Alligator mississippiensis: one gene and its partners. The protein of the gene in region 1 binds, or shares a complex with, the protein of each later gene. Links are inferred from orthologs where the notes say so. Each region holds a gene or a part of one and is shown in the gene's direction. Other genes may lie near its edges.

The links.
Region 2: CBLL1 (region 1) and RBM15B share a complex: the UniProt entries of both Homo sapiens proteins name them as parts of the WMM complex. The link is inferred for Alligator mississippiensis from reciprocal best matches to the Homo sapiens genes CBLL1 and RBM15B.
Region 3: CBLL1 (region 1) and METTL3 share a complex: the UniProt entries of both Homo sapiens proteins name them as parts of the WMM complex. The link is inferred for Alligator mississippiensis from reciprocal best matches to the Homo sapiens genes CBLL1 and METTL3.
Region 4: CBLL1 (region 1) and WTAP share a complex: the UniProt entries of both Homo sapiens proteins name them as parts of the WMM complex. The link is inferred for Alligator mississippiensis from reciprocal best matches to the Homo sapiens genes CBLL1 and WTAP.

Annotation. Positions count from the first base shown.
Region 1 is NC_081827.1:28,120,684-28,128,302, forward strand, and holds the start of CBLL1 (E3 ubiquitin-protein ligase Hakai), read left to right. Parts: upstream 1-4,601; 5' UTR 4,602-5,588; coding exon 5,589-5,610; intron 5,611-5,924; coding exon 5,925-6,092; intron 6,093-6,487; coding exon 6,488-6,588; intron 6,589-6,890; coding exon 6,891-6,974; intron 6,975-7,619. UniProt on the Homo sapiens protein: E3 ubiquitin-protein ligase that mediates ubiquitination of several tyrosine-phosphorylated Src substrates, including CDH1, CTTN and DOK1. Targets CDH1 for endocytosis and degradation.
Region 2 is NC_081835.1:46,186,576-46,193,740, forward strand, and holds the start of RBM15B (putative RNA-binding protein 15B), read left to right. Parts: upstream 1-4,151; 5' UTR 4,152-4,225; coding exon 4,226-6,979; 3' UTR 6,980-7,165. Other genes in the region: MANF (mesencephalic astrocyte-derived neurotrophic factor), read left to right, coding at 3,020-3,204. UniProt on the Homo sapiens protein: RNA-binding protein that acts as a key regulator of N6-methyladenosine (m6A) methylation of RNAs, thereby regulating different processes, such as alternative splicing of mRNAs and X chromosome inactivation mediated by Xist RNA.
Region 3 is NC_081830.1:3,897,546-3,905,065, reverse strand, and holds the start of METTL3 (N6-adenosine-methyltransferase catalytic subunit), read left to right. Parts: upstream 1-4,516; 5' UTR 4,517-4,597; coding exon 4,598-4,691; intron 4,692-4,878; coding exon 4,879-5,090; intron 5,091-5,417; coding exon 5,418-5,807; intron 5,808-6,287; coding exon 6,288-6,463; intron 6,464-6,724; coding exon 6,725-6,941; intron 6,942-7,056; coding exon 7,057-7,244; intron 7,245-7,339; coding exon 7,340-7,378; intron 7,379-7,456; coding exon 7,457-7,520. Other genes in the region: SALL2 (sal-like protein 2), read left to right, coding at 1-1,682, 1,790-2,176. UniProt on the Homo sapiens protein: The METTL3-METTL14 heterodimer forms a N6-methyltransferase complex that methylates adenosine residues at the N(6) position of some RNAs and regulates various processes such as the circadian clock, differentiation of embryonic and hematopoietic stem cells, cortical neurogenesis, response to DNA damage, differentiation of T-cells and primary miRNA processing.
Region 4 is NC_081824.1:137,733,725-137,740,755, reverse strand, and holds the start of WTAP (pre-mRNA-splicing regulator WTAP), read left to right. Parts: upstream 1-4,022; 5' UTR 4,023-4,061; coding exon 4,062-4,071; intron 4,072-7,031. UniProt on the Homo sapiens protein: Associated component of the WMM complex, a complex that mediates N6-methyladenosine (m6A) methylation of RNAs, a modification that plays a role in the efficiency of mRNA splicing and RNA processing.

The DNA of each region.
Region 1 (7,619 bases):
AAGATTGGCCATGGGGGGACTGGACCTATTTTTTTTTAAGTGCTATTTTAACTGGGATATACAAAAACTAGGACTCTTGGTTCCAAAATGATACCTTTTATTAGACCAACTGGAAAATGGCAAGAAAATTGTCCTTTCCTGCAAGCTTTTGGGATTAAAGTCCCTTCGTTGGTCTCTGGGAAAAGTGTAGATGGTACAAGATGGTCAAAAGTCCCCATAGGCAGGAAATAAACTTCATTTTTGCACAGGGGGAACTGAAGATGGAAGTCTGTCCCTCTGGGTCCATGACAGTGTCTGTGAGCTGTGTTAAGTAGCTCTTTGATGTGTTGATCAGGTAGAATCCCTTCCCTGGAGATGTCAGATGGCAGGCAGGGAGGCAAAAAAACTTCCTTGTTGTTCTGTAACGAAGTTTAAAATCCAAAATCGGCTAAAATTCGGGATTTTAACTGGGATTCATTCAGGTTTTGTTTTTTGTCTTTTTAAATTTTGTGTCTCTGGTCAAATCAGTCAAATTAGTTCTGAATTTCATCTGATGAGCAGGGCCGAGTCATTCAGGCCCATATAGCATTACCACTGGCAAGTATTTTCCCTCCAGGGCTCTTCAGCCTAGGGTTTCAGACACTCCCAAATGCATGGCAGGCTTCCTAACGCAGGCCCCAAACCCAGAGGTCTGGGGGTTCGGATGCCTCTGAGTCTTACTTGCCAACAGGCCAAAGAAGCAATAGTGCAGCGTTTCTCAACCTGTCGGTCTCAACCCAAAAGGTGGGGTCGCAAGAATAGATGTAAAGGTTACGAACAAACTTCAGAAATGGTTCAACACACTTTAGAAATGGATTCTCCTTTAAAGGTGAAAAACATGACAGTGTGGCTTTTCCCATGCAAGCTGGCAGAGTTCCCCTCACCCCGCACACAGGGGCCGCGGGTCGGCAGCGAGGGGCACTGGCCATCCATGCTTACAAATGGGTCCTGGGACAAACAAAGTTGGGAACCGCTGCTAGGGCAGACCGTGGTAGGGGGCCTGTCTGCAGTGCATCGGGCCCGTCTCCACCTGCCCTACGCGACGCCATTCAAGGGGATCTGACCTCCCCGGGAAACCACCTCCTGGTCCTTCCCCTGCCCGGTAGGATGAATTCAGGGCAAAGGACGCAGGGGGTGGCATGGACGCCCCCCGGCTACACCCCCGTTAGCCTGGCTCCGACGGCCTGGTAGGCCGCGGCCAGGCTGGAGCTCTCCGCAGCAACCACGGGCGCTGTCAGACACACGCTACTTGTGCAGAGGACCGGCTGCGGAGCCAGGCGCCGCCTACGACCACCTCAACATGGGGGGAGGAACTACAGCTCCCGGCATGCACCGGGGCCAAGGCGAGGCTTGCGGGGACCTGCCGCTCCCGGCATGCACCAGGCCCGCTCCGGCGCCAGGGCAAAGCACGTTTCCCAGCATGCCGCGCGGCGTGCCGTTCCGCCCTGCCCGCTCGGGTGCGCAGTGTTCTGGTTGCCATGGTGACCACTCCGCCGCATCGCGCGCCACGGCCCCCCCCCAGCTGTCCCGCGGGCACGTCCCACCCCCTTGTTCAGCGAGTTTCCGGTTTCTCCCTTCAGTCGTTTCCGGCTCCTCCCTTCTGGCGCGGGGCACTTCCGCTCCCACAGTGCCCCGCGCCGAATCATGGACCACAATGGTGAGGAGGGGCGAGGGAGGGAGAGAGGCCTGTGTGGGTCTGGCCCGGCCCGGCCGCCTCGGCGCTCGCGGGCGCTGCCGCTGGCTGCGGCGGGGCTCCGGGGGCGGCGGCCGGGCCGCGCTCTGAGGCCTGGGCCCCACGGGCTGAGCCCGCGCCGAGCGGAGCCGAGGGCCGCGGCCTCCCCAAGCCCGAACTGGCGCCGGCCCCGCCCCCGCTTCCTTCCCCTCGCTGACGCCCCGGGACGGGGAGGGCTCCGGGTGTGGCCGCCGGCGGCCCGTGCTTTAGCCCCGGGGGCCGGGGGTTGCTGCCGTCGACCTCGCTCGTTGCGGTCCCTTGTGACAGCGGCCGCGCTCGGGCCCGCCCTAAGGGGCCGGATCGAGGTGCCCGCGCTGGGCCGCACCCGTTCAGCCTCGGCGTTCAGCGGGTCCCTGGAGGGTCTCGGTGCTGACCCCAGGGCGGTGGGCTTGAAACCCCTTACCCAGCTGCTTGGCCTTTAGGCAGCTGCGGTGCCAGACTCTTGCATCTGACCCCACTCCTATGGCGTAGTGAGCCGCGATCCCTGGAAAAAGTCCTGTCCTGAGCATTGTCTAGAGGCTCTCTTGCTCCGCTTGCAGCTTGCTGTGCAGGGGCTTGAGCCTGGGTTTCAGCCCAGAAATACGAACCTGTTCTTAACTTTGTTGCCGGCCTCCAGACCTGACCTGGCTGCGTTTGTAGTCACTCCTGTGCAAAGAGAGCTTGAGCCTGGGGAATGGCCTGGAGTGGAAAGGCCACAGATCCCAGAGGTCAGGGTGCCCAGGGACAGGTGTGGGGAAGGGGCTGAATCCAAACTCACAGTGCGGGATTAAGTGTGTGCTATTAGTGCATGCTGACTGGTGCCCCTTTAAAATGTGTCAGGTCATAACCAAAAACTTAAATTAAAAAAACTAGTGAAGTCATGTAAGAGCATTCTCATTTTTCGGTGGACCCTTGTAGGTTATTAGCTGGGTTAGAAGGATGATAGGAAGTTAGAAACTTCCTTGAGTCGCATTATTTCCTGCTGTAACTCCATTGGCTTCTCGAGTCTGTAGACCTAAACCAGATGAACAGGCCAGTAGAGTTTAGTTGATTTTTAAAAAGCTCTTTGTTCATCTATCCCACTTTTAGGAACAGCTCTGATAGTCTCTTCTGGGCTAGTTTTTACTCTACACCTGCAAATGTTTCATTTCCTAATAGAGGTAGTTAGCTTTGTTAATCTGAAGTCATTCAGAAGGCGAGGTAGATGTGTACCTTTATAGACTAACGAAATAAGATGTATACAGACTACAAGATTTCACTGCATCATTTCCTAATGATACTCTTAACAGGAAGTTTCCTAATATTCAGCCTACCTTTTTTCACCTGTAGTGCTAGTTTGTACAGTTAGTGTACATGGAGTGAACTGGTATATAAATAGCCTGAGGAGCTACCTTGTTCAGAAAAGTTTTCTCCAAAGATCTTGTGCCCAAAAAGTACAGAAGAGAATGTACTTTTTATATCTAAAATACTTTCTGTACCAGAAGAGCTTTCAGAAAGCTTACAGTGCAAGTCCATTGTTTTGTATTGTGTTGTATGCCAAGAGAGCCTGTTAAATGCTTCAGATATATTTTTTCCTCTTGGCTTAGCCATCTTACCCATGCTAGTAGATCCTTCATTCATACTTCGTTCACTGTCAGTACCAAAGCAGCCCCCTAATTACCTTCAGTTCCCGTGAAGGTTTTAGAATAGAACATAGCCTTCGTTTAGGTGTCTGCACTGGCAGTGGTGTGGACTGGAGGAACTGAAAGGTGTTTGCTTTATGACTTTTTTTGCTCTGCATGTGCAGGCACAACTGTTCTGCTGAGAATTTTAGTTTTTTGGCCCTTCATGTACTGCCTCAAAATTGTTCTCCCTGTCGACTTCACTGGAATTGCTGTGCTGCTGACTGCTAACAGATGTTAATGAGCAGCAACACAGTTTTTGTAACAAGAGGCATGGTTTCCTAAAGTCAAGAACACCCTTAACCTTACAAGTATTGGCTCTGTGATGCTCCAGTCCTCTGGTCCCTAAAAGAGAGATCCATGAGTTAAAATACACTTTGACTGAGGAACTGGTTTAATTAGTGGAAAACCTATTCCCTCCCCCTCCTCAAAAATTCCAATAAAACTAGAAACAATTTTTAATAGAAGGTAAGAAGTACACTCACGTTGTAATGGTGGCATTCAGAGCACTGTGTGAAATGGGTACACTTGACCACCCGGCAAAACGGGCAAGTGCTGAGTCTGAGACGACACTGGTTTGAGAGTCAGAGAAATTTACCATATTTTCTCGATTATAAGACAAGGTTCCCCCCCATTCAATATGGGAAAAATTAAGCCTTGTCTTATGATTGCATACGACTTATCTGAAATCAGAAAATGCACTGGGGATGTCAATGTTAGTGAGGAGGCCACATGGCCAGACACCTAGTATGTGGTCAGTCATCAGAGGGCACCTGGGCACCCCTCAGCATACAGGGTTTCTGGCTGGCCAGTGCAGTCACTCCAAGCTGCCTGCCAGCATGTGCCGCATTGCTTTGGCACCCTCTGGCTGGAAACCACACACACAGCTCAAAATAATGCAGCAGGTGCAGGCCATGCCCTGTGCCCACAGTGCAGGGTTTCTGGCCAGCGCATACTGAGTTGCTCTGAGATGCTGCTCAAGTAGTGGGTGCTGGAGCAACCTGGCACATGCTGGCAGCCTAGCGCCAGGTCCCTTTCTGTGAGCTGGGTTGTCCCAGCACTTGCTGCTTGAGCAGCAGCGCAGAGCAACTCAGCATGTGCTGGCCAGAAATCCCATGCTGTGTGGACAGTGCCTGGCTGGCGCCTTTAGGTCACTTTGAGATGCATGTGCAGTTTCCCGTCAGAGGGTGCCGAAGCAAATTGGCACTCGTTGGCAGGCAGCAGCTTGGAATGACCCTGCACTGGCTGGTCAGAACCCTGCACACAGCTCAAAATAACCTGGCAGGTGCCAACTGGGCACCATCCCTGCAGCATCAATTCTGGATAGATTACTGGACAATGCATGGGTACTATATGCAAATTGATATACCCATGTTTATTTTCAAGGTTATTGTTTTCAGATTTGTTCCTCACTTCCATGTGTGCAGGGAGAGCAGGGTCTGACAGTAAGGAGAAAGGGAAGGGTCTGCTAGAGAAAAAATGGTGGGGGAAGCAGAGAGCAAAGGGCTACCTGGTCCCACAAATTTGGTTTACATGCTGTAGCAGTGAGAGGGGGACAAATTCGAGGCAAGCCTCCAATAATTTGATTCTATATCTGGAAAATGATAACACATTTTTATATTTTCCATATATAGAATGTAATTATGGGGGTCATCTTATCATTAGGGTCATCTTCTATTTGAGTACATACAGTTGTTCTGTTCCTGGCTTTGCACCTGAACTGCTAAATGATCTTCAGCCATCACTTTGCCTTTACACACCTGTTTCCTTCTAACCCTTATGTAATTTGTTCAGTTTGTAAGCATGAGGCTTACAATGGACTTGTCCCTAATCTTAGCTAAGCTGTCTAAGCACTACTGTATTATTAATAATACAACTTGTATGATCTTTTAATCTGATGGTTTGTCACTTATATGTGAAATGGGCCAGAAGGGGTCACTGTTAAATGAAATAAAAGCAACAGTTCCAGCCTCTTCTGGCCAGTTCAAATGATGATGAACCCAAAATGTATTACATAGCTGCAGGAAAAAGGGTATTGGGTTGTAGGGGCCTCTTTAAAAAGAGTTTGTTTTTACCTTATAATTTAAACTATGGTCTGGGCTTGTAGATGAAATGGAAAAACTAGGTGAGAGGTGTTAGGGCTTCTTCATATCAAGATAAGAGTTTGGAAACTTTTTTTATACAACTTGTCCACTGTGATGATTACAATGACCCAGCATGGTAAGAGAACATAATTTAAAATATTATGGTTTTGTAGAGGTTTTATAGTATAGTGAGCCAATATTACCATTAGGCACTACACAGACGCACAAAAAAGGCCTTGCCTTGAAGAGCTGATGGATTGATTTATTCCAGAATAGATTGATTTTTTTTCCTTCTAATGAGTAGTGTCTGGTACAATAAATGAATCTTAAATTAGCTTTAATAAAACCAGAGTTATACTTCTAATTTGTCTAGATTGCTACTTAACTTTTTAGAAACTAATATGCAAAATAACCAGGAAATTACAATAAACATATTTTCTTCTTGTATAGACAATGATTTGCAAGGAACTAATAGTTCTGGATCATTGGGTGGTCTTGATGTTCGCAGACGAATCCCTATAAAGCTTATCTCCAAGCAAACCAACAAAATCAAACCTGCACCTCGAACTCCAAGAAATATGAACAGGATGCCGTCAAAGACACAAGCTGGTGATGATGGTAAACTAAATAAATTAGTGCTGTGAGAGGAGAGGGAATTCATTTATTTTTTGTTTTGCAGTAGTGGTCAGATGCCCCATTCAGTAGCGGAGCCCTCATATGTTAGGTGCTGTGCGAACACATAAGAACATGTGACTGAGACATCCACATATTGTGTTATAAGCAGTAAATGGCCCCTGCCTCCAAAGAACAAGGAGTACTCTTTTTATTCTGTTTCTGTTCCTCTTTTTGCAGAAAGTATCTAAGCATAAAATTAGATTTAGGCCCAGCTGACACTGAAATGCCATAGTATTTCTGATTGTTGTTTAAAATGCTCATCATTCTATACTAAAATCAGTCTGAGTCATTTAGAAAGGTAATAGTTTGTGTTGAAGTATGGTCTCATTTTTCCCCAGAAGAATTTGATTATAATGAAGAGGAACGATACGAATGCAAAGGAGGTGAAATGTTTGGGAATCAACGAAGATTCCCTGGACCCATCTTTTGGGACTTCAAGGTACAATCTTGGATGCAGTGGTTTGGATGATAATATAAATTAAATTGCTCTCTAAACTTTTAAATACATGGGGAGCAAGTTCATCTTTAAAGTGTAGAAATGAAATGAGATGCATCCTGCTTACCCTTTCAGAAACCAAATGAAAAATAAGCACTTCTCTTACTCTTAGCATTGCTGTAAAGGTATTTTGTCCTTTTTCTCAGATTGTGCACAGGTCCATGTTTCTTAAGAAATATTTAAGAGCTTGCAAGCATATTGGTAATATTGAAAATAAGCCATCATAATATTGCTGTTCCTTACAGATTAACTTGCTGGGAGAAAAGGATGATACCCCAGTCCATTTTTGTGACAAATGTGGATTGCCTATTAAAATGTATGGGCGCATGGTGAGTAGAGCTACTTGTGGAAAAGGTAAAATTTGAAGCAGTTTTAGAAGTAGTTCTCAGTGGCTTACTGGCAAAATTGTAGGTAGCTAGTGGCTGTGTAACATCATTTATGATGGCTACTTAATATTTGTAAGAAAACATAGGAGTCATTGATTTCAAGTCAGATTATTGTGAAAGAAGGTCTGCATCTCAGAGCAGAAGCAAGTAGACGTACCACTATAGGGCCAATTGATTTTAGGGGAGCTGTGCAGAACCAGTACGAGGTATCTCTGTGCATCTCAGTTCAGACTCAGCCACTTAATTTGTACAAGAATGCCAAACTATTCATGTTCCACATATTTTGTGCTGTTACCTTGTTGAATCAAGGAACAAAATGGCAGATATGGTGAAAGGATGGCAGATGCAATGTTTGATTTGTTCCCATTGTAATTAGTTGAAAAATACTTTTTAATGTGAAAGAATGTGTAAGAGGGCTATAATATATATTTAACATTAAAGTGACCCTTTTCAGGTAGAGTACTGTATATTAATGGGAGACTTCAGCTGAGTTAGTAAATTCTATATAGTAATCGGTTTTGTTTCTCTTAAAATAGCAATCAAACCTAATGCTTAGGATGAATTTAGAATATTGCCTATAATTGGATA
Region 2 (7,165 bases), on another chromosome or scaffold:
ATGTATAGCCAAGATCTTGCCACTGGAAGTTAAAGTGGGAGGCTAACTATGCATTACCCTAGTCAGGGTACTACTGCCTGCCAAGAAAGTGGTTTTCACCTACCAGCAGGAAAACCACCTTAGTGGTCATGGTATTTCCCCTGTAGAGTGGAGAAAGATTAGCAGGAATCCTGAGCCAGGAAGTCAGTTGACTTCATCAGCACTACCTGAATAGAAAGGCACCCAGTGCCCCTCCCAGGTAGTTGGTTCTAAAGTTTGGGTGGAGCAGGAATCAAATGGGAGTGCAAGTGCACTCCTCCCCTGTGCCCTTCCCTCTTGATCTGCCCCTGCTTGGGCCATAGCTTGCAGACCCTGTGTCTAGTTAACTGATCAGTGATCGTGCTTCTCTGCAGCATAGATCATCATTGATTAGCAGTGTAGCATGCATTGGCTTCTTTCCATGGTGCATATTCTCATGTAAACTAGCTTTGAATCGGCATCCTTTGAAAGCTAATGGAATTGATCTACTTGCTCTTGTGTTTCATAGATTTCATAGACATTAGGGCTGGAAGGGACCTCGGAAGATCGAGTCCAGCCCCCCGCCCAAAGGGCAGGACGTCAGCTGGGGTCATAGGATCCCAGCAAGATAAGCATCCAGTTTGCTCTTGAAGGTGTTCAATGAAGGCGCTTGAACAACCTCCGGCGGCAGGCTGTTCCAGACCTTGGGGGCTCGGACAGTAAAGAAATTCCTTATGTCCAGCCTGAAACGATCTTGTAGTAGTTTGTGACCATTCGTCCTCGTCATCCCTTGGGGCGCTCTGGTGAACAAACGTTCCCCTAGATCCTGGTGATCACCCCGATAAACTTGTAGGTGGCCATCAGATCACCCCTGAGCCTGCGCTTTTCCAGGCTAAAAAGCCCCAGGGCTCTCAGCCTGTCATCGTAGGGTCTGCTTCCCTGACCTCTGATCATGCGCGTGGCTCTTCTCTGGACTCTCTCAAGCTTCTCCACATCCTTTTTGAATTGTGGAGCCCAAAACTGGACGCAGTACTCCAGCTGCGGCCTCACTAAGGCCGAGTACAGGGGGAGAATGACGTCCCGGGATTTGCTTGAGAAGCATCTATGGATGCAAGCCAGCGTTTTGGTCACTTTACTAGCTGCAGCATCGCATTGCAGGCTCATGTTCATCTTGTGGTCAATGATGACCCCCAAGTCTCTTTCTTCCATAGTGCTAACCAGCATAGCACTGCCGAGCCTATAAGGATGCTGTGGGTTTTTTTTCCCCAAGGTGGAGAACCTTGCATTTGTCGGCGTTGAACACCATCAGATTCTCATCCGCCCACTTGCTGAGCCTGTCCAGGTCAGCCTGGATCACCCACCTGTCTTCTGGCGTGGATGCTTTGCCCCAAAGTTTGGTGTCATCGGCGAACTTGGCCAGTCCGCTTCTGACTCCAGTGTCCACATCATTAATGAAGATGTTGAACAGTATGGGTCCAAGGACAGAGCCCTGGGGGACCCCAGTGGTCACAGGACACCACGAGGTCTGCCATCAGGATTGCTGGCAGAACTTGGTTTTCTGTTTGTGCTCTCACCAATGTTTGTTCTGTTGCCTCAGCCCATCATGCTGACATTTCTGATTGCAATTGGAAATGGGCTGCTATGGCAGAAACTAACCCAGTTCTCAATTTCTGCATGTATTGTTTATTATTACAGTTATTCCAAAGCCTTAGTCTATAGTTGGAATCATTAGTTCATAAACTAGTATTGGGCAAGGGGTTTTTGAAGGAGCAGCATGTGTCATTGTGGACTATATTGATTTGTATTAAGTAGGCCTGAGGCTATTGGTGGCAAGGCTCCTCATTGCCAAGGTGCATCAGAAGAGCTTAGAAGATACTAATTTTATTTTAAGCAATTCTTGTTCAGTGGAAGACTGACTTTAATTTTTACCCCACTGAAACTGCTTGCATTGGTCAAAGATGCTCAAACATTGTGATTCTTCTTTTTACATTTGAACCACTTAAGTTTCCATGACTACCATCTCCAATTTTGCTGATTACTCCCTTCAGGTTACCTTTTTATCTTGGGGGACAAGCCAGGAGAAAAGATAACATCTACTCTTATCCTCGCATCTATTTCTGATTTTTTTTCAAATCAACCTCTTCCTCTTGTTCTTTCTCCTCCAGTGTGCTAGTGCTTTGTAAGCTTTATGGTATGCTTTGCGTATCTTTAGTCTTAAGACTGTATCTTCCCCAGAGAAGGCAGGGGACAATTCTGTTATCTTTACTGTCATAAAGTTTACTGCTCTGAAGTTAGCCTGGGTTTAAGAATTCAAAGGTGTCACTAAACCACACCCCTTTCTGTAGCACAAAAGCCCTTGTCCTTTCCCTCCTTCCCTATTGCCAGAACTCATTCCATGCCCTTTGTAGCTTATGTGGACTCCTCTAACTCTTCTCTGGTCTTACTTTTTTTAATCTGTCCAGTTTTTAACACCTGAAGTGTGCTTCCTCTCATTACTTTGCCCATCTTGTTCTTTCCCCTCCATAATCTTAACTGATTCCGTTTTTTTGTACCTACCATTCAGCTTTCTTATCACCTGTATCTCTGCTTTTCTGTCAGCACTTCACCTTCAATTTTTTTGTCCTGCCCTCTTATATTATGTCTGTTCACAATTGTTATAGTTCCTCTGTCCAACAGCTGTGTGCGTGTCCTGGTTATTTGAGCTCTTGAGCACAGTTCCTATTTGCATTTTCTCCCTTCCTGCCCTGCCTCATTCTTATTAAATTGCAACATAATGCCCCTGATAGCTTTCTTTTAAGCCTCATTCTGCCTTCCCTTTTATATTCTTTTTCATTATAATGTAGATTGGGGCAGAAACTTTCAAAGCACAAGTCCTTCCTTAGCAAAAGATATAAGGAAGGGTAGGCAGCTACTGAAGGGACCAAGCCCGTAGTCTTTTCTGATAGAGAAGTTGTCGCAACCCCTTCTAAGCTGTATTTTTTTTTCTTTACTTTGAGTTACTGATGTTCCTTTCTTTCTGTAGACAAACAGATTGACCTGAGCACTGTGGACCTGAAGAAACTGAGAGTGAAAGAGCTGAAGAAGATCCTAGATGACTGGGGTGAAACATGCAAGGGCTGCGCAGAGAAATCAGACTATATACGTAAAATCAATGAACTAATGCCTAAATATGCACCAAAGGCAGCCAGTTCACGGACGGATCTCTGACCACTGTGGCAGTCTCCATCCTGCTAGAACCTCACACAGATTACATTAACCTCTCTATTTTGTTTCTTAAGCCTTTTTTGTAACTTATTTAAGTGGGCTCCCAACAGTGTCAGACTTGGAAGTGTGGAGCCATGTGTGAAATGCTGGTTTCACAGCCCCCATTTTGTCTCTAGTTTGTATTTCTCTCGCCTCTGGTTTGCTTTATGGCATCACACTATGTATGGGATTTTTTTATTAAAGTAAAAAGAAATCTACTCTTTCTGGGCCTTGTGAGAGGGTTGAGCTTAGTTCTGTGGAGGTCCCTGCATCTCTTGTCTCCAAACTGCACAGTCAGCCGTGCAAGCCGCTTCCTCTGGTTGCTGTCCTGGGCAGAGGTCGTGCTGCAGTTGTTTCCTTGCGCGACTCCTGGCCCTCCTCGTCTCTGCCGCTCCCCCTGTCCAGCTCTCCTGCTGCAGCTGCCTCGTGCCACTGTCCTGAGGCCTTTGCCAGGAGGTGCCTGAGGCAGCATGGGGCAAGTGGCCCGAACTTCGCAGCTGTGTCCTTTAAAACACTGGCCTGTGGCTGGAAGGGCCCTGATCCGTGGTCTCGCGGGCCGCCTTCCCCAGCGCTCAGGTGACAGCTGCTCGGTCTCGCTCCCCTCGCCGCTGCCCCGCACGTGAGGCCGGAGCGACCCGCGTTGCACGTGTGGCGGCAGCAGGGCCCTGTCCCGGGGGGCGGCGGCGGCTGCGCTACTTGCTCAACCAAGGCGCGACCGCGCGGCTTAGGGGAGGGGGCGGGGCCAGGGCTCCCAACCCCGCCGCCCTACTGGCTGCGCCGCGTCACGTGGCGTGGCCCAGGCGCGTCTCCCTTGTCACGTGGGCCGGGCGGCGGGAGCCGGCGCGCGCCTAACGTCACCTTGCGGCGGGCGCGGGGTGATGACGTGAGGCCCGCGCGGCGCGGCGGCTGGAGCCGCCTTCGTTCCCTTTTGTCCAAGATGGCGGCGGCCGCCGGAGGCGTCTCCTGAGCCGCGGGCCCCGGCGCCATGAAGCGCGGCAGCGAGCGGGACTCGAGCCCGGCGGGGCCGGGGGGGCGCGCTGCCGCCGCCGCCGCCGCCAAGAGGCCCCGGGAGCGGGAGCGGGAGAGCAGCAGCCGGCGGGGCCCGCACCGCAGCTCGGGCGCCTCCCGCAGCAGCCGGGACAAGCCCACGCCCGGCGGCGGCGCCTCGGCCTCCGCTTCCGCTTCGGCCTCGGCCTCGGCCTCGGGCTCCGGCTCGCGCAGCCACCGCGGCGATGAGCGGGCCGGGGGAGGCGACTCCAACCACCGGCCGGCGGGCGGCGGCTCGGCCTCCAGCGCCCGCGCCAGCACCCAGGCCGCCCCCTCCTCCTCCTCGTCCTCCTCGTCCCGTGCGCTCGGGGTGCCCAAGGCCAAGGCGCTGCCCGGGGCCGTGGTGGCGCCGTCGCTGCTGCTGGCCGGGCCCCCGCCGGGGGCGGCGCCGTCGCTGCTGCTGGCCCCGCTGGGCGGCTCCTCGGCCGGGCTGGCGGGGGAGCCGCCCGGCGCCTGCGAGTACAAGACGCTGCTGGTGAGCGGGCTGAGCGCGGCGCTGCCCGATCAGCTGCTGGAGGATGGGCTCTTCCGCCTCTTCCAGCGCTTCTCTGGCGGGGGCGCCGGTGACATCAGTGTCAAGCTGTCCCACACGCCCGAGCTCGGCCGCGTCGCCTACGTCAACTTCCGGCACCCAGGAGATGCCCGCGATGCCCGCCGCCATGCCCGGGCCCGCCAGCTCCTGCTGTATGACCGCCCCCTCAAGGTGGAGCCGGTGTACCTGCGCGGCGGCCGCCGGAGCCGCACGCCGCCGCCCGCACCCTCGCCAGAGCCCCTCAGCTACCTGCCGCCCATCCATGGCACTTACCAGTACAAGCAGCGCTCGCTTTCGCCTGTTGCTAGCCCCTTGTTGAGGGAGCCGAGACCACGGCATGCCCACGCGGCTGCCGCCGCCTTCGCACTGGAGGCAGCTGCTATTGGGCTTTCCCGGGAGCGGGAGCGGGCACTGGACTATTATGGGCTGTATGATGAGCGTGGCCGGCCCTACAGTTACCCCATCGTGGCTGAGGAAGACCTGATGCCTGAGGACGACCAGAGAGCAACCCGGAACCTGTTTATTGGCAACTTAGACCACAACGTCTCGGAGGTGGAGCTGAGACGCGCTTTTGAAAAATACGGCATTATTGAAGAAGTGGTGATCAAGCGCCCAGCCCGGGGCCAAGGTGGAGCCTACGCTTTCCTCAAGTTCCAAAATTTGGACATGGCGCATCGGGCTAAGGTGGCCATGTCTGGCCGGGTCGTTGGCAGAAACCCCATCAAAATTGGTTATGGGAAAGCCAACCCTACTACGCGGCTCTGGGTGGGGGGTCTTGGTCCAAGCACGTCCCTGGCTGCCCTAGCTAGGGAGTTTGACCGCTTTGGTAGCATCAGGACTATCGACTACGTGAAGGGGGATAGCTTTGCTTACATTCAGTATGAAAGCTTGGATGCTGCTCAGGCTGCCTGCGCGCAAATGAGGGGCTTCCCTTTGGGAGGACCAGAGAGGAGGCTTAGAGTGGATTTTGCCAAAGCTGAAGAGACAAGATACCCCCAGCAGTACCAGCCTGCACCACTCCCAGTGCACTATGAGCTGCTAGCTGATGGGTATAGCAGGCACAGAAGCCTAGAGCAAGACTTAAGGGTGCGAGATAGGACTCCTCCACATCTCCTGTACTCAGACAGAGACAGGAGTTTTGCAGAAGCAGATTGGGCCAGTCCTGCCAAAAATGCTGAACGCAGAAATAACCTGGAAAGCTACAGCAGGTCAGTGCGCAGTCGAAGTGGAGAACGATGGGGCAGCGACAGCGACCGCAACGTGCCCAAGCCGTGGGATGAGCGGCGGAAACGCCGAAGTCTTTCAAGTGACCGTGGAAGGACTACTCATTCGCCTTATGAGGACAGAGGCAGGACAAAGGCCACGAGTGGGCCAGCTTCAGATCGCAGCCCAGAGAGGGCTCGCAAAGAGAATCACACTACGGAGTCTGGAACGGAGAAAGAGCAGAGAAACTCCCTTCAGAACAATCAGCACGTGGCTGAGGAGAAACCCCATCGTGAAACTTCCGATCCTCCCCAGTCGAAAAAGAGGGACAGCGAACGCAATCATCGAACTGGCGAATCGGAATCAAAAAGTCACGAGGAGCCAAAATCTGAGACCAAAAAATTAAAGAATTTATCGGAATATGCTCAGACACTGCAGCTAGCTTGGAATGGGCTGCTTGTACTAAAGAACAGCTGCTTCCCCACGTCTATGCACATCCTGGAGGGAGACCTAGGTGTCATCAGTGGGCTCCTTAAAGACCATTCAACTGGTGGGAAGTTAACACAGCTCAAAATCGCTCAGAGACTTCGGCTTGACCAGCCCAAACTGGATGAAGTAACTCGCCGCATTAAACAAGGCAGCCCCAACGGCTATGCTGTGCTTCTGGCTACCCAAGCCACCCAAGGAGGGGCTGGGGCTGAGGGGACCCTCCCTGTTGTGGAGCCTGGCTTGCAGCGTCGGCTTCTCAGGAATCTGGTCTCCTACTTGAAACAGAAGCAGGCTGCTGGGGTGATCAGCCTGCCTGTGGGAGGGGCGAAGGGCAGAGACAGCACAGGCATGCTTTATGCTTTCCCTCCTTGTGAATTCTCTCAGCAGTACCTACAGTCAGCACTAAGGACATTGGGAAAGTTAGAAGAAGAACATATGGTGATAGTTATAGTCAAAGACACTGCCTAACCCACACTGTCTTTTCAGATTCCATGTTTTCTTTGTGTGTCACACAGCCCTGTTGTTTTTAAGGCCGATCATTTTGGTGGAGGGCCAAGAAACCTCAACCAAAATTGTAAGATCTTTAGTTTCTAATTAATTTTAATCCCATTTAAATAGAGCCCATTTTATTTGTTTTTAATAACGTGGCACTGT
Region 3 (7,520 bases), on another chromosome or scaffold:
TGGAGCCGGCGTCCTCGCCAGGGCTGCTGCGGCCCAAGAACGGGGCCGGGGCGGTGGAGCCGGGGCCCGACGATAAAGCGGGCGGGCGGCACAAGTGCCGCTTCTGCGCCAAGGTGTTTGGGAGCGACAGCGCCCTGCAGATCCACCTGCGGTCGCACACGGGCGAGCGGCCCTACAAGTGCAACGTCTGTGGCAACCGCTTCACCACCCGTGGCAACCTGAAGGTGCACTTCCACCGGCACCGCGAGAAGTACCCCCACGTCCAGATGAACCCCCACCCCGTGCCCGAGCACCTCGACTACGTCCTCACCGGCACCGGGCTGCCCTATGGCATGTCCGTGCCCCCCGAGAAGGCCGAACCGGGCGAGGAGCCCCCGACCCCGGCCCCTGAGCCCCGCAAGGGCCTCAGTGCCACCGAGAGCCTCACGCTGCTCTCCGGGGCGGCCACCCCCACCGCCTCGCAGGCCCTGCCCGTCTTCAACAAGCTGGTGCTGCTGAAGGCGGCCGAGGGCCGGGCCAAGGGGGACGAGAACACCCCTCCGGGCCGGGAGGCCGAGGCTGCCCGCCTGCCCCTGGGCAAGCTGCCCGGCTGGGCTCTGCTGGCTGGCCACTTCAAGGCGGGCAGCACCGGCTTCCCCTTCCCCTGTCTGCTGGAGCCGCTGGGCACCTCGCCCTCCGAGACCTCCAAGCTGCAGCAGCTGGTGGAGAAGATCGATCGCCAGGCACCCCCGACGCCCGGGGTGGGCGGCACCGCGGCGGCGGCCCCCTCGCCCCCAGCCCCTTCATCCTCCTCCTCCTTGATGGCCGGCACCTCCCCTGGCGGCGCGGCTGCCCCCAACCAGTGTGTCATCTGCCTGCGGGTGCTGAGCTGCCCCCGGGCCCTGCGGCTGCACTACGGGCAGCACGGTGGGGAGCGCCCCTATCGCTGCAAGGTATGCGGCCGCGCCTTCTCCACCCGCGGCAACCTGCGGGCACACTGCGTCGGCCACAAGGCCAGCCCAGCCGCCCGCGCCCACAACTCCTGCCCCATCTGCCAGAAGAAGTTCACCAACGCCGTCACCCTGCAGCAGCACGTCCGCATGCACCTCGGCGGGCAGATCCCCAACGGCGCCCTGCTCCCCGAGCCCCCCGCCACCCTCGCAGGGGAGGGACCGCGCCCAGCCCCTGCCCAGCCCGCTGCCGAGGGGCCTGCCCTGCCCCGGGATGAGGAGGAGCTGTCAGAGGAGGAAGATGAAGACGAGGAGGAGGACGACGAGGAGGAAGGCACTGACGAGGACTCGCTGGACAGCGGCGCCGAGAAGCCCCCGGGCGGCTCTGAGGGGGTGTCAAGCCCTGAACGGGAGGTGCTGCCAGCTCCTGCCAAGGAGGAGGAGGAGGATGCTGGGAAGGCGGCAGGGGCAGGGGCAGGGGAGGGCAGTGCCCAGCCTAGCTCCCCTCCCCCGCCCAGGGAGGGATCGCCTCTGCCCCCCACGGGGGACCCCGTCCCCCCGAAGGCTGAGAGGGGAGGAGGAGGGGAAGCAGCAGGAGGCGCCGAGGAGGAGAAGGAGGCTGCAGGGGCTGGCGTGGAGGAGCCACGCGCCGGCCGGGTCCAGGAGGGGGCAGTCGTGGCCTGTGGGGTCTGCAAAGAAGCCTTTCCTGACGGGGCCGCACTACGCAAGCATGTCCTAGCTGCCCACCACCAGGTAAGGGCACCTGGGGCTGTTCCCACCCCAGCTATTCCCCCTCCCCTCAGGCCCCTCCGTTTGCTGTGGGCACTAACGGGTTACTCCCCCCCGCGGTGCCATGGCAGGTGCCTCTGGCATGGGGCTGTGGCCCGGCACGGCGCGGCCGGCGCCCTACCCTGGAGGGCCCGGTGCCGGTGCTGGCAGGGGGCACGGCCAAGCTGCAGGACTTCCTCTCGCGAGATGTGCCGGCCCAGTTGGTGGGCGTGGGGCCCCTGTCCTTCTGGAACCAGTATACCGCCTTCGTCTCCGCCGGTGGGCTGGCCTCCAAGCCAGCCCGAGCACCTGCCCTCGCTGCTGCGGCCCCGGCCCTCTATGGGCCCAGCCCGGGCCCCGCGCCCACCCGGCCAGCCCCTGCCGAGGCCAAGGAGAAGCCCGTTGCTAGTACACTACTGCTGGGACCCCCGGCCCCCAGCGAGCCGGCCCCAGATGGCCAAGGGAAGGCGGAGAAGTAGCCGGCTCAGGAGATAACCCCTAGTAGCCCACTCGGCAGGTAAGGTCCCCTGCCCCTATGGTAGGCAGGGATGGGGCAGGGCCCCTGTTCACACTGCTCCCAGTCTCTGGGACTGTCCCCATCCCTGTTTAGCCATGTTCTGGGAGGGGCTTGGTGGGGTCAGAGGTCACTCGCTAAGATGCTTTAGGGGGCAAAAGTTGCTCAAGGGCAGGGGGGTCAGGAGTCAGTGGCATGGAGATGGGGTCAGATGTGGCTCCTGGGTGGGTAGAGATAGAGGTCATTCAGTGGCTTGGGGCCAGGGCTGAGAGGGTGCATGGGTGGGGGGCCGATGGTGGACGGGGTGGGGGCCGCTCAAGCAGGGCAGGGGTCGGTGCAGAGGTCACATGGGGAGAGGTCAGCATGTGCTTGGCAGGAGATGGCTGTAGGTAGAGGCCACTGGGCAGAGGTGGCTCATGGAGTAGGGCTGAAGGTCAGTCTGTAGGACAAGGGTCAAGCAGTAAGGTGGAGCCAAATCAGAGGTCACAGGGATGTGGGTTCAGGGCTCGCGCGCCCTGGGCCAGCATCCCTCACCAGGGAAGGGGTTAGGAGGGTGCAGGGGCCCGACCTGGCCTTTCCCCCTGCTGCCCCCCTAACCCTGCCTCCCCCTCTCCTCTCTCCGTCTCAGGGGGACGCTGCAGGAGGCCACGAGCTCTGCCGGGGACACCGGCCCTCGCCTCCTCCGCCCACCACGACATTAGCGGCAGTTTAGTCTTCTACTCTAACCGTAGCACGGAGGGACGGGGCAGGAGGCGAGACCCCCTGCGCCGGGGCGGCTCCACCCCTGCCCCCTGTAGCAGAGCGCCCCCTAGTGTAGAGCAGCATCCCGGCCACGCCAGCGGGGAGGAGCCCGGGACTGTGCTGGCCTCGACATTAAAGCAGTTTGACAAATCCCCCGTGGCCGGCTGTGACTCTCGCTGGGGATGGGGACGGGGACGGGGCGGGGGGACGAGGTGGAGGCATGCCACGTGAAGGCGGTATAGGGGTGCACGCACTCCTACACGCCGCCCCCGAGCCTGTGGCTCCGGCCCCTGCTCTGCTCCCCTCTCACACTGTTTGCCTGACATACCCAGGCTTAAGCAGCTCAAGAGCCTCCCTGGGAGGCCTCCATGGAGGGGGAGTGCCTGTGCTAATCCCCACACAGCCCTTCCTCACTCCTTCTCTGGACCCCTGCGCTGTTGCCCCGAGCAGGAAGCAGAGGTGGAGGAGGGAGCAGGGTCATTGCACCCTGAGGTGGGGGAAACTGAGGCCCAGAGCAGTGCCTCCAAAGCTGCTTGTGGGGGAAGGACCCAGGCAGCCAGGGTGTGCCACTCTGTGTAGGGCTGGGCTGCTCCCCAGAAGTGGCTGCATCTTGGGATGGTGGGGGGGTGCTTGGGGGCACCAGAGGCTGGAGATTTCATGAGGCTGGAACAGGCCTCGTGCTGCCAGTACCCAAAATGGCCTCTTCAGCTTCCAGTGAGCTGCTGCCAGTAGCCATGATGGTTGCCATGCCCTCACACCGCCAGCATCCAACAAGGTTGCCCACAACCAATATGGCGGATTTATTACCACCACCATTTCCGGCCACGTGGTGGTACGAAAACGAATGGAGGCGGGCGGAAGGTGATAGGGCTCGTGGCGGGATCGCGGCAACTGGGACCGGAAATGGTCACAGACCTCTGGAGACGATGCCCAGTGCCAGTAGACAACATGAGGGCAAGAGCTTCCTCATGCCAGTACCAACATGGCTGCTTCCAGCGTCCCTCCCCCCACGTGACGCGAGCCCTGTTTTTTTTCTTTTTTAAATGACTGTGGGCAGTCGCTCTCCGGCCGTCCATTGGACAGCGGAGAAGGGCGGCCTCTGGTGCCAGTAACCAACATGGCTACCCCCAGAGTGGTAACAAGTATGGCCGCCCGGAAGAGGCGAGGCCTCTGGTGCCAGTCACTAAAATAGTGGAGGCGGAGGACGAGAGTGCGTGCGCACCGATGAACCCAATTGCTAATACGGCCGCCCGGCTTGCCCATACGAAATATGACTGACGCCCATGATAAAAATGGCCACGGGGGAGCCGCTCTGTAAATAACCACAGGCAGCCGTCACGTAGACACCAAACGTGCCCACTTCCAAGATGGCTGCCAACAGGCGCACATACCCGTAATCAAAATGGCCGCCGCAAGAGCTAAAACCGGAAATGTTTCCAGGGGGGACAGGTTTTTCGTGACCTCAGCTCTGAGTTGACTCCGCGGCCATTTTGGTTATGGGCATGTGTGTGTCAGGGGTCCATTTTGGAACTGGGCATATCCGCTCACCCGCCGTGCGCCTTTGAATTCCGCCCCCCGCGGCACTTCCGGTTGCCGGTGTGCTGCGGTGTTTGGGGCCCGGGCGGTGCCTGGAGCTGCCGGGACCATGTCGGACACATGGAGCTCCATCCAGGCCCACAAGAAGCAGCTGGACTCGCTGCGGGAGCGGCTGCAGCGGCGGCGGAAGCAGGACCCGTTGGGTGCGACGGTCAAGGAAGGGGCAGCGCTGGGGAGGGGGCGAGGTCAAAGGTCACGGGGAGGACTGGAGTCAGAGAGGTGGGGGGTGGCTAGGGTCATAGGAGGGAGGGGGGTCAGAGGTCACAGCGACTTCTGGGGGTCCTGGAGGGGTGCAAGGGCAGAGGTTGCTGACCCCCTGCTGCCCCCCAGACCCGCGCAACCCGGAGCTGGCGCTGACGCCGCCCTTCCGCAGCGACAGCCCCGTGCTCGCCACCGCGCCCGCACCCAGCGCCGCCGCCGGCACCCGCGACCGCGACCTGGCCACCGACCCCGAGCTGGAGAAGAAGCTGCTGCACCACCTGGCCGACCTGGGGCTGGCTCTGCCCACCGACGCCGTCGCCATCTGCCTGGCCATCTCCACGGTGCGCTCGGCTGCCCGCTCGCCTTCCCCCCCCGCGGCACTGGGGTTTCCTCCCCCGCCACCATTAACCCCCCTGCCTGGAGTTGGGATGAGAGTCCTGGTTCCCCTGCTGTGATCACCCCCCTGGGGTCAAACGCAGGCAAGCCTGGCGTCCCCACTACATTCACAATGTGGATCCTCTTGTCTCCCTGTGGTTTGGTGCCTTCAGACACCCCTTCGTCACTCCCTGGCTGGGTGCAGCCCTGTCCCAACGTGGGGCTGATCCGAACCCCCTCACCCCCCTGCCGGCGTACGCAGTAACCTTGCCTCCCCTGCCCCCTCCCTCCAGCCAGAGGCCCCGGCCACGCCGCGCAGCGTGGAGAGCCTGCTGCAGAAGTTTGCCGCGCAGGAGCTGATTGAGGTGCGCCGGGGGCTGCTGCAGGACGACGAGGAGCAGCCCACGCTGGTCACCTACGCGGACCACTCCAAGCTCTCGGCCATGATAGGTGCCGTGGCCGAGCGCCGGGGCCCTGCTGAGGCCGGGGCCGCCAAGCGCCGCGCGGACCAGGAGGGCGGGGGCGCTGTCTCCTCCCCGGCCGGTGCCACCCCCAGTGCCACAACCAGCGCAGAGCCTGCCAAGGAGCCAGCCAAGAAATCCCGGAAGCAGGCGTCAGACCTGGACCTGGAGATCGAGAGCCTGCTCAGCCAGCAGTCCACCAAGGAGCAGCAGAGCAAGAAGGTGCAGGCCTCTGGCTGGGGAGGAGGGATGGGGCAGGAGGTGCTGGACGCCTCAATTCAGCTTCTAGAAGGGCAGTAAGGGCTAGTGAGTTAGAGGGGAAACTGCGAACCAGGACGCCTGGGTTGTATCCCAGCTCTGGGTGAGGAGTGTGGTCTGCGGGGGGGTAGGGCCTGGCACCAGCACACCTGGGTTTCGTCCCAGCTGGAGGCAGAGCAAGGGTTTTGTAGGTTAAAGAAGGAAGTGCGGGACAGACAAGACTCCTGAGGTCTTTTCTCAGTTCAGAGTCTGGGGGAAGGCAATAGTGGATTACAGCAGAGGATCTGGAAACCAGGACACCTGGGTTCTGCCTTGGCTTTGGCGTGGGAGTGGGGCAATTAGAGCAGGGAGCTGGCAGCCAGGACTCCTGGGTTCTTTTCTTGGCTCTGGAGGGAGGAACCCCCAATATCCAGGGCCCAGCTGACCCTTCCCCGCTGACCCCAGGTGAGCCAGGAAATCCTGGAGCTGCTGAACACCACCACGGCCAAGGAGCAGTCGATTGTAGAGAAGTTCCGGTCGCGCGGCCGGGCCCAGGTGCAGGAGTTCTGCGACTACGGCACCAAGGAGGAGTGCGTGAAAGCCACGGGCGCCGAGCGGCCCTGTCGCAAGCTGCACTTCCGGTGAGAGACGTGTGCACACGCGTGTACCTGTGCGCACTCATGCACACACACCCCCTCCATCATGTCCGTTCCTTGCCACGGCTCTGCGGAGAGCAGGGGCAGGGGTTGAGAGCTGGGAGCTCAGCTTCCAAAGTGGGAGTGTCTGGGCACCCAGATTCCTGGGTCCAGTCCTTACCCACAGTACCCAGTGGGGTTGCACAAGGGGTAGGACAGGGGCCAGGACGTCTGGGTCCCGTGCCCACCCACCACCCTGGTCCGCAGGCGCATCATCAACAAGCACACGGACGAGTCGCTGGGCGACTGCTCCTTCCTCAACACCTGCTTCCACATGGACACCTGCAAGTACGTGCACTACGAGATCGACGCCTGCGCTGACCCTGGTGCCCCTGGCACCCGCGACCACAACCCCGGCCAGGAGCTGGCCCTGCCGCAAGCTGTGGGTGGCGACGCCAGCGCTGACCGTCTCTTCCCACCCCAGGTGCCCACTGCCTGAGGGGATGCTTGTTGGCAGGGGCCTGTAAAACTGGGCAGGGGAAGCTTGGGGTGGGAGGCAGAGCACAGGAGTCTGCCCTCACATCTCTCTCCCGGCCCAGTGGATCTGCTGCGACATCCGATACCTGGACGTGAGCATCCTGGGGAAGTTTGCAGTAGTGATGGCTGACCCGCCCTGGGACATCCACATGGAGTTGCCCTATGGGACGCTAACTGACGATGAAATGCGGCGCCTCAACATCCCCGTGCTACAGGACGAGGGCTTCCTCTTCCTCTGGGTCACTGGGAGGTACTGAGGGTCTGGGAGGGGCTGACCTGGCTCAGAGGGGTCATGGGTGTCTCTGATGCAGGTCAAGGGTCTCACTGGGGCTGTCTCCCTCACAGGGCCATGGAGTTAGGGCGCGAGTGCCTCAACCTCTGGGGGTGAGTGTGTACAAGTGAATGTGCCCCCACATGTCCCCCCTCACACCCTTCCCAGCTGACCTCTACCCCCCGCCCCAGGTATGAGCGGGTAGACGAGATCATCTGGGTGAAAACCAACCAGCTGCAGCGGATTATCCGCACA
Region 4 (7,031 bases), on another chromosome or scaffold:
CTGCATGGGCTTTCCCAACTGCTTGGAGACCATGGGCAGCAACCACATCTCCATCTTGTGCTTGGGTCAGGCCACCCAGACGTTCACCAACCACAAGGGCTACTTCTCCATTGTCCGGCAAGGTGTCATTGACCACTGAGGCCATTTCACTCACATCTTCACCAGCTGGGCAGGCAGCACCCACAATTTCCAGGTCCTTTGCCACTCCCCGCACCTTGGACTGATACAAAGCAGGCACTACACTCCTGGGGCCCCTGGACTCATCATCGTTAACATAATTGTCCCACTGCTTCTCATCAGGGACCCTGCCTACCCCCTCCAGCCCTGACTGACAAAGCTCTATGGGGGGCAACTGGACTGCTGGAAGAAGCGCTTCAACTATTGCCTGAGCAGGTGCTGCATGATGATGGAGAGCACCTTCAGCCACCTCAAGGTATGCCAGTGGACTTTCAGCATGTGCCTTGAGGTGGACTAGGGAAACCTGATGCAACTCATCATTGCCACTAGTGTCCTTCACAACATCTGCAAGACCAGGGGGAGGTTTTCTGTGAGGCCTGAGCTGAGGAGGCACAGCGTGTGGAGTGGATCTGGCAGTGTAGGTACACGCAGCACAGGGATGGAGGAGATGGCAAGCCCCCTGCTGATGTTGTGGGCCCCGGCTCTGCACAGTAGCAGGCTGTCCAGATCTGCAAAGCTTTGGCTGACTACTTCCTCACCCTTGTGGACCAGGAGCCCTTCCCACATAAGTAGGGCCAGTGCCTGTGCCCTGGCACCATGGCATGGGTCTCTTGCCCTAGGCTCCTCAGCCCTGCATCCTGGGCAGTGTTGGCCACAATGGTACCTGGACACTGTTTCATTTCCCCTCCTCCTCCCCAATTTTCCCTCCCCACATTAGGCACACACCAGGGTACGGGGGAATGTGGCACCAGGAAGAAACTTGCCACCAAATTTTTCATGTGTTTAATAAAGAAAACCTGCTGAATGTTGCCCATGGCAGAACTCATTCCCTTTTCCCAATTCATACAAACCAGCAAACCTTCGGAGGGGGCAGTGGGCAGGAGAACCTGGCTGGAAGGGGCAGTTAGGACGGGGTGGGCGGGAGATGTCAGGGGGAATACCACAGGGGCTGAACTCAAACACAAAACCTTGGAGTGGAAGCATGGGGTATGGTGGCTTTTGACCTAGCATCCTGCTTTCAAGGTTCAGAAGTGAAGACCAAGGACTTTTCCAATGTTGCAGCTGGACAGGTGTGTGATCCCAGACCCACTGTCTGTCTGAGAGAGTTGCAAGTCAGGAAGCAGCTGTTGCTTGGGGGGTGGGGGCTTTGTGATGGGTGGCTTCACCACAGTGGACTTTTAGCTCTTCAACATGGGCTCCCTGGCCCCAGGACCCAGTCTCTCCCTTTGAGGAGTCCAGATGGCCCCTGAGTACACTTGAGGCTCCTGTATTGCAGCCGACCTGACCCCTGGGACTGCCTATCTCCACCAACGCTGCACTGATCCCCTACAACAGGACTTAGGCCAAGAGTGGAGCCACGGACAACAGAAGAGTTCCCCCCAGACTCCATGGCTGGCATCAGGACCAGCCCACCATTTTTGGGGCCCCCTGCAAGAAATAGTCTTGGGGCCCCCTGCCCCGAAGAAGCCAGCAGTGGTGGTAGTGGCAGCGGCAGGCGGGAGTGGCGTACAGCCAGATGTGAAGGCAGTGGCAGCAAGCAGCCAGATGCAGGGGCATAGGCAGAGGAAGAAAACAAAATTTGAAGGGGGTGAGTCTGCACAAGTGCATGCGCGCGCACACGCCCCCCCATGGAAAAGTCTGAAGGGGGAGGGGAAAGGGCCAAGAAGGGAAGCAGCATTGCCCAGCACTGCACCGCCCCGGCCAGCTCCCAGCCCCAGCCCTGGTCCCAGCTTCCTCCCAGCCCTGGCCACGCCAGCCCCAGATGCCACACTAACCATGGCTGCCTCCTGGCACTGGCCGCACCGGCCCCAGCCCTGGCAGCATCCTGACCACACTGGCCCAGGCCATTGCACCAGCACTAGCCGTGCTAGCTTCGGCTGTCTCCCAACCCCGGCACCTGACCCGGATGCACCAGCCCTGGCTGCGCACTGGCTGCGGGGGGTGCCCAGAGCCAGGTCCCGAAGCAGGGCCAGCCTCAGCTGCCTGCCGGGCTGGAGGGGATGGAGCGGCACCCACCACATTTGAAGCGGTGGCAGCAAGGCACGGAGACATGGAGCAGAGGCTGAGCCCAGCTCGCAGCTGTGGCCTACCCTCACCCATGCAAAGATCAGGGGGCCATGTGCCCTCCCCCACCCCTTGGCTGCCCAGTGCCGCACCTCTGGAGGAGCCTCTGGGCTCTGATTGAACCACGAATGGGCTAGGCCGGGGCCCCAGTCACAGTGAATGGGGGCTGGGCTGGGTCGTGGAACAATCCCCACAGTAAGGAGGGAGCAGGCCAGGGGTAGTGGTGAATGATTCGCCCTTCCCCTACGTGACTCTCTCCTGCACTTTGGGGGTCTCAATCTGCCCTCCTCCAAGCCCAATGCCTGTGTTGGGCCAGCTGTGATCCTGGCGGCGAGTGTGCACGGTAGCTCAGCGTGCCCACCACTGTAGGAACCTAAGGCCATGCCTGCGGCAGGGGAGCAGCAGCGGTGGTGGCCAATCTCAGGGGAGGCACCCCCTACAGCGGCCAATCGGAGGCAGGGGTGTGAAATCAGAAACTGGAAGTGCTTCCTGCGCCACTGCCACCCCTTCCAGTTTCGTGGCCTGTCGGCACCCCCCACAGCCCTGCACCTGGGGACCCTCCCCCCCGTATCGGTACGTCACTGCCATGCTTCCCTATCTGGGGAGACATTTCAGCCCCGCATCCCTGATGAACTGGGTCTACACTCCCAATATTCCCCTGGTGAGAGTCAGCCAGGCCCTGAGGGATTAGCTTTTCTGGTTCTCCTGGGGGAACTCCAGGCAATACACTGTGCTCCTGCAACATGGTCCCCTGGGAGTATCTCAACAGCTGGAGAGGGGTCATCTGCTGTGATGGCACACTGGGGAACTCTGGGTTGCCATTCAACATTGGATAGAGCTGACACCCCCTCTGGAAGACTTTGCTATTGCTGCTGCTATTGACTTACTGCTCAGCCTGTGACCTGACCCAGAGAGAATTTCCCCAGACCCCAGCTGCATAAGAAGAGCCCTGCCATGGGCTGCCCCTGGCTTTACAACGCTGCTCCTCTACTGAGAATATTCCAGGAGGCAGCTGGAAGGAGAGAGAGAGGGAGTTAGGAAAGACTAGGAGCTTTTTTTGCTAGGGTGAACTGTTTTCATTCCTGCTGTACCACAACTGCACCCTGACCTTGGGGTGCTCTCTGCCAACTCAGCCTGTGGCAATGGCAACTGGAGCAGGGCAGCATATACCTGCAGTTGTAACTGTTTTTTACACTTTGCCTTGGGAGCTCAATAAACGCTTTCAGTGCCTTCCCTTCCGTGCTTGGGAGGAGAGAGAGGTGGTTCCACACAACTGCTCTGGATAGCTGCAATGAGACTCACTTCTTCCAGGAGATCAGCTTGGCCTTAAAAGATAGGGGGGAGAGGGGGATGTCAATAAGGCAGATTTATGTTCTCATTGAATGCCAGGGACTCCCTGTTATTACTGAGAAGGAGCTAGCAGTGAAAAGAACCCCAGGGGGACCAGGCTTCTTGCTAAGAGTAGCAGAACAAGCTACCTGAGCACCTTAGGCTGAGACAGTGCCTACTGTGGAGGTAGTGGCATTGAAATAGTTCAATTGGGCAGAGACTGCTTAGTACAGTGGTCTGCCCAGTGCAAAACTAGCTGCAGCACAGTAACGCCAGAGAGTAGAGCATTAGCTTCTATCCCAACAGCTGAAAGCACCTCTGAAGACCAGCCAGTTAGCCTAAAGAGAAGCACCTGTGGTGGCTGGGTGGTCACAAGACCAGGAGAGCAGAGCCTCAACTACATATAAACTCAGGGTTTGGACCTAGGGGGTTATCTTGCAGACAACCAGGGAAGGAGATCTGTATTACAATGGCTAAGGCACTGTAGTAGCATGCATGCTGGTAAGGAACTGAGAGTTGACTATGAGAGGGGGGGGATTTTCTTATGTAGCTAGAGAGCTTGATTTGATTTATGGCCTGAGGCCTGACTTTTTCCTATTGTTATAATCCAAGGACTGGGATTGGGACTGGCAGGAGGGGTGGAGGTGCCAAAGGGGTATATGAAATTTACAAGCCCTCTTGAGGGCTGGGCTCAGAACATGGGTGAGGAAGGCTGCAGTCTAAAGATGAGGGCACAGACCAAGGCCCTGAAGAACATAGCTGGGGCCCTAAAGGGGCATTATCAGGGCCCTAAGGGCAAAGCTAGAACCCTTGAAGAGGGAGCCCAGGAAGGATGAGAGAAGAGCCTTGAGGGGTGAGTGCTACACCCTTTAGAAAGGAAGCTGGACCTGGGAAGGGGCAGACCCAAATCCTAGGAGGTGAGACCAGAAACTAGATGAGATACTGGCCTGGGGTTGAGGGATCTTCTCCCAGGATGATGAACTGTTAACATGCGCAAGGTATGGGCCTAGCTAGAGTGTAGTCAGAGCCCTAAGGTGCTAACTTACAAAGCTGTTATGAGAACAAAGAGCCAGACCAGTGATTCCTTGGGATTTGAGGCAGCCTCCCAACTCTTTGAGGGGGGGGGGGAAAAGTTGTACCAAAAAAATGGCAGGTGAGGAAAAGGGAGAGACTCTAAACCCGGAGGTGAAAACTGAGAGATTACCAGAGCCTGGGCATTCACCTAGGCCTATAGGCAACATGTAGGGGTGCACATGTTTTTCCCCCCCCCCCTGATTTGTGGCTGCTGCTGGCTTCTGTGGGTGGTTACCATCCACACCTGTCCCCCACTTGCTGCTGATGTGGCCAGTGGTAGTTGTGGGCAGTCCTTGCTAGCTGCCACTGACTGACTGCAGGTGGTCCCCTCTTGCCTCTATGGTACCCTCCCCCTGGTCTCAGGAGGCACCAGTCATTCATGCCTGGGCCACCAGAGATCCTGCTGTGTCTCACTACAATGGGACGTGGGCTGATAAGTGGCCAAGGGAACTAGGTGCCTCAACTGCCTTTCAGGATGGTGGGGTGGGAGTTACTGCTCTGAGTGCTGAAGGATAGAAGCCTTTTGAGCACTTAGAGGCCTGGTGCCCTGCACTGTGAACAGTCAGGGTGGGATGACTCCTCCCTCCCACCCCAGCCCCTTTCTGGCCTTGGCCAAAACCTCCATGAAAGGGGGCTATGACCACAGTAATGGCTTATAGGCTGCAATTCCCCCTGCCCTTCTTTCTCCCAGGGGCTCCCCAGTTTCCCCCAGGGCATTGGTTCCCATCATGGCTGTAATCAAACCATACTGTCCTGGGCTGCCTCCCTTGAGGCCCAAGTCATCGGGGGGGGGGGGGGGGGGCGTGCTGACATGGCCCATGCAGGTCATGTGGCAGCTGTGCTGGGGGTGGGGGGGACACAACTGGGCACTCTGTGCTGTGGCCATCTGTTTGGCTACAGCTGTAGAGCACTTCCTGCATGTGTAACCTGTGATAAACTTAATGTTTGTACCTAGCCTAAGATATTCCTTCAGCCAACTTCTCTTTGGCATGAGAGAGCCTTAAAATAGTGAACTCGAATCTGGGCTCTTATTAATTCTGTGTTCTCTTTGTGATAGCTTTCGCTGTGTAATTCCTTGCTGGCCAGTAATTGTAATGACAAGGGTATTGTGTCTCCACCTCCCCTATGGGAGACTGTCAAACTCCCCCCTCTTTTAGTGATGGTTTTTTTTTTTTTTTTTTTTAAACAAAAAAAGTAAAACAAAAAAATAAACCCTCTAGCCTGTCTCCTCCTGTTTTCTTCCACAGCTTCATTGTCTGAAGGCTCCAGGTAGGCATTCTAGGCTTATCCCTACACCCCTTTCTGTTGGAAGCTTCCCCGGCTGATGGGCTGCTTTTTTTTTTTTTTTTTTCCCTTCTTGCTTTCTCAGCTGTTCATGGTCTACTTAAGCTAAGACAATTACCTTCCTGTCTTGCAGTGTCTTCCTGAGTCTCATTTCTTAAAATCCTACTCTCTGGGGTCATGTTACTGCATTAAAACTAGTCCATTTACTACTGCTGTAGTGGAGAGAGCCTAGACACATGAACAACATACAATTCAAGGACCCCAAATTCAGGATCCAAAATAGAATTTAAAACTTGTACTTAATTTCTTGATTCTAAAACAAAACCTGTTGTTGTGGGCCAGACTCGTGTGGTCAAAATTCATGATGGTTGATGGCGCCATATCAATCTTAACTGGGCCCAGCTATTCTTATTTGTAAATTCGTCCAAGGTACATAGCCACACTTCCTAAAACACTAGTTTCCAGCCATATGATTCAACCGTAGCAAAGGTGTGCTCAGAGCCCAATAGCTCCCCTCTTGGCTGCTCAGTGAATCCAACCATCCCCTTCAAGTACTTTTATTTATAATGACATTTCTAGCTTTGTCAGATCTGGCAGCCAGTAGGTGCTGTATGAAACTGAACACCAGGCACAAAAAAGGGGTAGTACCAGCTGAACTGAGGAACCAGAAAGAAGAGGAGATTAGGTGAGAACAGGAGAATAATAGTAACAGAACCTTTAAGATGCATTTTAAAATGTCAATAAAAGAATGATTTTTATGCCTAGAAAGTATTTTAACATGTTTTGTTTTTATAATTGATCTCCATGTTGAAACATTAAAAGCAAAACAAAGCTAAGCAAGAAAGAAGTGTTCATGCTCAAGCTCCTTAGCAGTAGGATAATTGGATTAATGTGCAGGTCCAGCATTCATAGAACCTATAACAGGCTGAGGAGATTAAAAGCAGTACTCAGACTGTCAATAACCATAGTCCACAGAACTGGACTGACCTTGGAAGCTAAGTAAGTTTGTGTTTGGCTAGTAATTTTCTGGGACCCACCTTGGAATAGTGGGTGCTGCATACTTCCTGATTCTTTAGGGCCACAATGTGATTTATTCAGTACAT